Ovis aries: one gene and its partner. The protein of the gene in region 2 purifies or fractionates together with the protein of the main gene of each other region. This does not show direct contact. Links are inferred from orthologs where the notes say so. Each region holds a gene or a part of one and is shown on either strand. Other genes may lie near its edges. The genes, in order: RRS1 and REXO4.

Region 1 (3,778 bases), on a different chromosome or scaffold from region 2:
AGGCAATGGCACCCTACTCCAGTACTCTTGCCTGGAAAATCCCATGGAGGCAGGAGCCTGGTGGGCTGCAGTCCATGGGGTTGCTAAGAGTTAGACATGACTGAGTGACTTCACTTTCACTTTCATGCCTTGGAGAAGGAAATGACAACCCACTCCAGTGTTCTTGCCTGGAGAATCCCAGGGACTGGGAAGCCTAGTGGGCTGCCGTCTATGGGGTCGCACAGTGTCGGACAGGACTGAAGTGACTTAGCAGCAGCAGCAGGTCAATTTGACAAATGAATCAAAAGATAGTAGTAATATTGCAAGTAAGGATTTTGTAGGTTTCTTTCTCTCTTCCCCAAACAGATCCCACTTGAAGCTTAAAAAAAAAACACCTGGGATATAAATACTGATAAAGATTTAAGTATAAAATTAGGATTAGGACTTCCCTAGTGGTCCAGTGGCCAGGATTCCACACTCCCGATACAGGGGACCTGGGTTCAATCCCTAGTCTGGGAACTAGATCCCACATACTGCAACTAAGACCCAGCACAGCCAAATAAATAAACATTAAAAAAAAAAAAAAAAAAACTGAGATTGAGGATTATTACCATTATTTAGTGAAGTCCAAATTTATCATTTACAGCAAATTAATGTTTTCAGTGTTGAAAAGCATCAAATTTTGTTTTTGAAAGAGACACACTTTCAGTATTATATCTGACACCGAAAGCAGGATGAGTTTTTCTAATAAAAGTGGTCTTGCTGAAATCATAATGTAACTGCTATGTTTTCTAGAAAGTAAATGAAAATAATCTGTACCAGGTATCCAGGTCATTGGTTTTACTTAAAATGTAACCTTTCTGTTCCCACATGCTTTGATAAATACACAAACTTGTCATCAAAATAATGCAGAAACCAGCTGTTAAGTCTCTCCCTTAAACCCCATCCAAAGTTTAAAGAGAGGGAAAAAAAAGGCTGTTTAAAAGTAAAACTCATTCCTAGTTTTCACAGATTCTTTCCCTAATTCAGATGTTCTTAAATACAACCTTTAATCTCCAGCCAGAGTTTTGGTTGTGGGAAATACATTAATTTGTCCAGTCCAACATTTACATATCATCTTCAGAGGAGGGTAAACCTGGCCCTTTAACCTCAAGCTCAGTGAAGGCAGTGGCCAAATCTTGTGCATCTGGGTACTGTATCTAGAACTTAGCATTAAGTACAGTTCTTGGTTTAGGAGAAGGTCCAAGGATGAAATTTACTTCCTCCTCTTTCCTCCTTGGTGTTGCCCCCCTTTTCTCTTGCCACTCAGGCCGGGAGGTCCGGAATTCATCTTGCCTCCCAAACCCCCTTTCCTCTTCCCTCCTTGGCTGGGCGGGCCCCCCTTCCTCTTACCCCCGGGACCCTGTCGGGCCCCCTTTCTCTTGCCCTTCTGACTCATTTTCCTCCGCTTGGCCGCCTCCTCCTGGTCCTCCTCTCTCATCTGCTTATTGGTGGCCCTCGTAATGTCCAACTGAGGCTTTTTGCTGTTCATCACTCGCAGCATCTCCAACTGGCTCTTTCTCTCGGCCGCAAAGTCCCCGAAAAGAGGCTGAAACTTCCTCTTCTTGCCAGAGCCCCTGGGCGCCTTCTCCTTGGGCAGGCGCTCCTGGAAGCGCCCCACAGAGGCAGTGGAGACCTTGGCCACCTGCATGGCGCGGCCCAGCTCCTCCTTACTCTGGTGTCCAGTAGGGTGCATGCCGGCCGCGCTGGGCAGCTGCATCTTGTGCGCGCGGGCCAGGTTACGCAGCCGGTTCAGTTCGTTCTTGGCCACCCGTTCCTTCTTAGCCTGAATCCGCTTGGCGAACTGGTCCTCCATGGGGTCGGCATTGCCCGGCACCTCGATCAGCCACTCCTTGGTGTCGTCGCGGGCTCGCTGGTAGCCCCAGCGGCGGCGCCACTGGCCGCTCACCTCGTCCCACACCAGATTGGTTTTCTTCTTGGGACGGATGCCCTTGAGGCGCGCAAACTGCTGCCAGCGAGTAAGAGGCCGCGGCCTGGGCACCGGCTTCTCGCGCGGCAGACGAGTGCTGGGTTCCGGCAGCCGTGCCACCAGCGCCTCCTCCACGCGCTCGGTAGGCAGCTGCCACAGCTGGTTGATGAGCAGCTGCGTGTTGTCCCGCGCCAGGGCCCTCAGCTCGGCCTCCTGTGTGGGTCCCGCGTGCCGCAGCCCGGTCGGGGGGTTCCGGTCAGAGGCCAGCAAATTACCCAGGTCGAACTCCAGCTCCAATTCCTTCTGCACCGTGATGCGCTGTAGCTTCTCTGCCTCGTCCCGCTCCGCCTTTGCCAGCAGCTCCTCCACGCTCTGGCCCTCCATGGCTCCGGTTCGGCTCGCTACCTCTGGGAGACAGTTCTAGTCACGACTCCTCCTACAAGGGTTAAAGCCGCGGCACCCCAGACACGTGCGACTTCCCGGACGCTCGACCCGGAAGAGAAAGTTCCGCTTCCGGGGCACCCGGAAGGGGCTCAAGGAGCGGGCTACCCGAGGAACGGCCGGCAGAGGGCGGTGTTAGAGAGCAGATGAGATTAGAGGCAGCCTTTGGGGTGGAGCCCGGAGGTAGGCGGAGCCGAATCTACGAATTCCGAGGCCTGATTGGGACCTTGGCTCCCAGGATGCCCCTGCGGGAGGGGGTGGTCCTGTGCGAGCTGGGCAAGTTAGGGGGCCGCGGACTAAGCGGGCCCGGGAGCGACTGTTAGTTTTAGTGTGTGTAAAAGTCAGTTCTCAAGTTGTTTAGCCAGTCATTTTCACCAGAGCCTTGACACCTGTTCATGGTGTGCCCCCGGGTGTGGGCACTTCACCTGGGGATGTACAGAAAGCTAAGTGGAGACGGAGACTTTGTTTTCTTTGGGAGCGAGCGGGTCTGGCGGTTAGACCGCCCTGAAGGGGCGCGGCTGTGCCCCCATCCTGGCGACTTCAAGTCTGGTCTCCGGAGCCCAGGGCCACCTTCTCTCCTGGCTGATGGCAGAAGAGCGCGGGGCTCAGCTGTTAGACCGCCGGGGTTCCGACCTTGACCGCTCTGGTGTTTGACCTTCGGCTGTGTAACTTGTTTGTGCCTATTCTTAAACCTGTAAGATGGGGTTGCAAATATTACCTCCCAGGTCTGCCGTGAAGATAAATGAGTTAATATGCTCCCAAGGGAGCTTACACTGGAGTCTTGGGCATATGAGTGCTCAATAAATGTGAGCTAAATACCAGTAATTGTTTAATTCTCATCATGGCTCTGGGAACTCTGCTGAAAAGGCAGTCTTATACAGTGATTAAACACCAGGTTCTTGAATCAAGCTACCTAGAATAAGATCTGGGTTTCTTGTACCCACATTGGTCAGGTTGTTTAACTTAAGTCCTATTCATAAGTTGATGAATATGAATCATTAGTTCCTGGTACATTGTAAGCATTCAGTAAGTGTTGGCTACTGTTATTCACTATATTCCGCTGGTGACAGAAGCAGGCTCAGAGAAGTAAAATGACTTGTCTAAGGTTATACAGCCAGGAAGTATGGGAGCAGGAGAAGTCTAAACTCTGGCTCTAAAACTACATACATATTCTCTGCAATGTCTTCCAGACTCTTGATACTCAAAAAAGTGTGGTCTGTTGACCAGCAGTACAGCAGCATCTGGGAGCTTATTAGAAATGCAGAGTCTCTGGCCTTAGCCCAGATGTTATGACTCAGAACTTTTATTTTAACAAAATATCTTAGTGATTAATGGAAATGAAAGGGGTTAGTTGCTCAGTGATCTCCAGAATTCTATGAACAGAGAAGC
Region 2 (4,485 bases):
CTGGCCCCAAACCACCCAACTGGCAAGATGCAGGAGTCGGTTTTGAACTCAAGTCTTTCTGGCTTTGGTGTTCGTTCATTCCACAAGTCTTTCCTGGGGGCCCACGAGGTGCCAAGCCCTGTTCAGGGCCCTGGAGATACAGCAGCTATGGGACAGGGTCAGCCTCTGCTCTGCCTACGTTCTAGGGGGACAGACTTACCCCAGGTTAATTCTAAATTAGCTGAATCACCCTGAATTACCCACGAAGAAACCCACAACGCCAGGATAAGGTGACAGAGGGGCCACCAGCCTCGGCCTCCTTAGGGAGAGAGGCCTCGGTGGCTGTGACCGGGGAGGAGGCTGAGGCACAGGGCGGCCGGGAAGGCCGCATCCATCATCACGTCCCGTGGTACTTACTTGGTGGGCAGGGCTGGAGGCAAGGGGGCAGTCGGCTCCTCAGCTTTCCGCTTCTTATGTTTGATGTCGCCTTGCTGCCGAGAAATGTCACCACTGGTCCTTTTCTCGGCCCCTTTCTCCTTGGGCTGCGCCTGTATCTTCCTGCTATTCAGTGATCCCGAGGGCCCAGAGGACCCTGTGACCTCAGGGTCTGTGTTTTCCATCCCCATCGCATCTCTCTTTGCTTTATCTGAGATCGAGTTTCTACTTTGTTGGACATGCTGTGGCTGCTTTTTGGAATCCGTTTGAGAGAGAAGTGGAGGCTCTTGTGGAGTCTGTGATCTTTGTTTCAGCAGCTAATAGAACCCAAAACAAAATACACAACGCACTGTGATTTGGGAATCGCACACCAGAGGTGGGAAAGAAGCGCGTCTGTGTCCAGAAGCCGCCCGCCCCCGCACTGTTGTTTCAGAGTCTCCTCCTCCCGAGCCCACGCGTGGGGGCCACTTCCTCAGCCAGATCCCTTGGTTTGCTCCTGCTGTGAGGGTCTCAGGAAGAGATGGTCACGTCCAGTGACACGGGGTGGACCACCATACCCCTGCTCTCCCCCAGGGAGGGCTGAGGTCTCCCAGCCCAGCGCCCTCGGTTAAGACCCTGCTGTGCGGCAACCAGCTGAGTGAGGAGGCAGTTCCTACCTAGCTGTTCCTGTGATGTTTAAACAACAGGAGAACTGCCTTTCTTGTATGAATTAGAGAAAACGTGAAGTTTCTTCCCACAACAAATATCCATCCCTCTGCTCGCTTCTTTTTGCTTTACTTTCTTGTAAGAAAGAGGCCGAGTTACAGCCCAGGAAGTCTGAGACCCCTGGGGTTGCCCGAGGGAATTTCATGGTCTATGTGTCAGGACAGGAGAATGATCTGGACTCCCCCCTTAAGGCGCAGGTTAACAGTCTCAGAAGCCCTTCTCTGCGCTCCCCCTCACCCACTCTGAGACTCCTGGAGAGATCTCAGGAGCTCAGAAGAGGCTGCGGAGACACCATGAGGGTCGGCAGCAGCAAAGAGCGCGAACTCCCACCCAGCCCTGTGCACCTGCACCCCAGGCGCTCGCTGTGTGACCCTGGGCCATGTCCCTCAACCCCTCCCAGTCTCCTCATCCAGAAAACAGCTGTACAGCAGCAGCCGACTCTGGCGAAGGCGGTTTACGAGTGAAGCTCAGCCGACGACAGCACCCAGGAGATAGTGGCCGGTAGGTAATCTGCAAGTCTTGGTGCACTGATGGCCCAGAAAGGCAAGGAGGTATCGTGGCATTACGAGCAGGGAGTTGATGGGAGGGGGCTTGGGGTCTGACTCCTGGCTCTGCTGACCTGGTTGCAATCTACTTAACCTGTCAGGCCCACTTCCTCATCTGTAAAATGCAGATGATACAAGATCTCAGAGTCGGTCTCAGGTTAAATATGAACACATCAGCTCAGCTCATCCAGCAGTGTCTAAAGCACACGTGAAGCACTCAGTGATCAGTAGCAGTGGTCACCGATTAAAGGCCCAGTGTTGCCAGAATTTCATGGCAAATAGATGGGGAAACAGTGACAGACTTTATTTTTTGGAGCTCCAAAATCACTGCAGATGGTGACTGAAGCCACGAAATTAAGACACTTACTCCTTGGAAGGAAAGCTATGACAAACCTAGACAGCATATTAAACAACAGAGATGTTTCTTTCTGACAAATGTCTATACGGTCAAAGCTATGATTTTTCCAGTAGTCATGTATGGATGTGAGAGTTGGACCATAAAGAAAGCTGGCACCAAAGAATGGATGCTTTTGAACTGTGGTGTTGGAGAAGACTTTTAAGAGTCCCTTGGACTGCAAGGAGATCCAACCACTCCATCCTAAAGGAGATCAGTCCTGGGTGTTTATTGGCAGGACTGACTCTGAGACTGAAGCTCCAATACTTTGACCACCTCATGCGAAGAGCTGACTCACTGGAAAAGACTCTGATGCTGGCAAAGACTGAAGGCGGGAGAAGGGGACGACAGAGGATGAGATGGTTGGATGGCCATCACCGACTCGATGGACAGGAGTTGGTGATGAACAGGGAGGCCCGGTGTGCTGCAGTCCAGGGGGTCGCGAAGAGTCGGACACGACTGAGCGACTGAACTGAACTGAACTGTCAGCAGGGTCCTCTGCATGCAGCCTCTGCTGTTCCGCAGCCCACGCGCTCCGGCCTCTGCGATCGGCTCTGCTCCCCGGGTCCGCTCCAGCCCGCGCGCCCCCCGGGACCCACACACCGTCCCCCTCTCCGCCCGTAGGCCCCCCGCGGACTTGCCTCCTGCAGCGCCTTCCAGTTCGGGGAAAAGTCCTCCGGGGCCTTTGGGGGCCGCACCGCGACCACTCCGGGGTCGTTCCCCGGCGCCCCACCGGCTTCTCGCGCTTTGCTCCTCCAGGCCCTTTTCTTCCGTCTCGGCTTCCTGACGGGCCCAGCGTCAGGCGCGGGGGCACGCGGGGCGCGCGCGGCGGCCGGCCCCCTCGCTTTCACCATGCCGGCCCCGGAGCCCGGCTGCCCGCAGTCCGGGACCCCGGAAGCCGCCCGGCACGCGTCCCCCTCACGTGGGCCCCGGTTTCCGGGAAGTGCTCTCTCTCTCCCCAACCGGGCTAGAAACCGAGCCTTCGCCTCTGGTTCCACACAGCCGGGAGAAGGGCGGGCCTCCTCGACTGCTGAGGAGAAGGGCCGCCGCCCTGGTGAGCGGCGTCCGCGGTTGGAGGCCCCGGGTCGGGTTGGAAGAAGCCCGGGATGTCTCTGAGGGCAGGCCCGGGGCCGAGAAAGGCGAGCGCCGGAAGGGGAGCGAGGGGGACCGCTGTTGGTGTAGCACCGAGGCCGGGCCGGCGGGGAGCGCGGCAGGCGGCCGCCAGGGGGCGCTGGGCGGCCGGACCGGGGAGCAGCGGGCGCGGAGCCGACGCCCGGTCCTGCGGGCCGCTGTCCGCCGGCCGCTGTTCCCACCCCGGCCCGTCTTGCCTACGCGGCGGGGACACTGAGGTCCAGGGCCGGGAGGGGCGACCCCAGGTGGCTCTCCGCAGTCCAGCAGCATCCGATAACAAGGATAAAGCGCTGGGACAAGTGTTGTCTGTTCAGTTCAGTTCAGTCGCTCAGTCATGTCCAACTCTTGCGACCCCGTGGACTGCAGCGCGCCAAGCCTCCCTGTCCATCACCAACTCCCGCAGTTTACTCAAACTCATGTCCGTTGAGTCGGTGACGCCATCCAACCATCCCATCCTCTGTCGTCCCCTTCTCCTCCTGCCTTCGATCTTTCCCAGCATCAGGGTCTCTTCAGCTGAGTCAGCTCTTCGCATCAGGTGGCCAAAGTATTGGAGTTTCAGCTCCAGCATCAGTCCTTTCAATGAACACTCAAGACTGATCTCCTTTAGAATGGACTGGTTGGATCTCCTTGCAGTCCAAGGGACTCTCAAGAGTCTTCTCCAACACCACAGTTCAAAAGCTTCAATTCTTCGGTGCTCAGCTTTCTTTATAGTCCAGCTCTCACATCCATACATGACTACTGGAAAAAACATAGCTTTGACTAGACGGACCTTTGTTGGCAAAGTAATGTCTCTGTTTTTGAGTATGCTGTCTAGGTTGGTCATAACGTTTCTTCCAAGGAGTGAGAGTGTTGTATGTTATGTGACAACAATGATGTTACTCGCACCTCCTGCCTGGCTCTGACAACACCTGGAGGCCAGGCCTGCATTTCCCCAAAGCTCCCATCCCAGCCTCTGTACCTGTGCTGGGGGCCCTTCAGGGAGATTCAGATACCAAATCAGCAATTTTGTATCCTAGCAACTGCCACCAAGATGAGAAGATGAAATGCTGTGTTAGAGACCGAGGAGGGTTAAGGCTGCCAAAGAACCTGCAGGACGCCCAGAGAAACAGGGATTTCAGATAAAGAATAATTTTTACTATAATATGTTCCATATAATAGCTACAACACTGAGGGCATACTCCTTGTTTAGTCGCTAGGTTGCGTCCCAACTCTTGTGACCCCGTAGACGGTAGCCTGCCAGGCTTCTCTTGTCCATGGGCTTTCCCAAGGGAAGAATACTGGAGAGGGTTGCCATTT

What was found.
Region 1: the proteins of REXO4 (region 2) and RRS1 purify together in Homo sapiens (co-immunoprecipitation; 3 studies listed by BioGRID and IntAct, with this or other methods). This does not show direct contact. The link is inferred for Ovis aries from reciprocal best matches to the Homo sapiens genes REXO4 and RRS1.

What each region holds. Positions count from the first base shown.
Region 1 is NC_056062.1:43,655,014-43,658,791, reverse strand, and holds RRS1 (ribosome biogenesis regulatory protein homolog), read right to left. Parts: upstream 2,450-3,778; 5' UTR 2,333-2,449; coding exon 1,235-2,332; 3' UTR 805-1,234; downstream 1-804. UniProt on the Homo sapiens protein: Involved in ribosomal large subunit assembly. May regulate the localization of the 5S RNP/5S ribonucleoprotein particle to the nucleolus.
Region 2 is NC_056056.1:2,639,032-2,643,516, reverse strand, and holds the start of REXO4 (RNA exonuclease 4), read right to left. Parts: upstream 2,959-4,485; 5' UTR 2,913-2,958; coding exon 2,700-2,912; intron 732-2,699; coding exon 397-731; intron 1-396.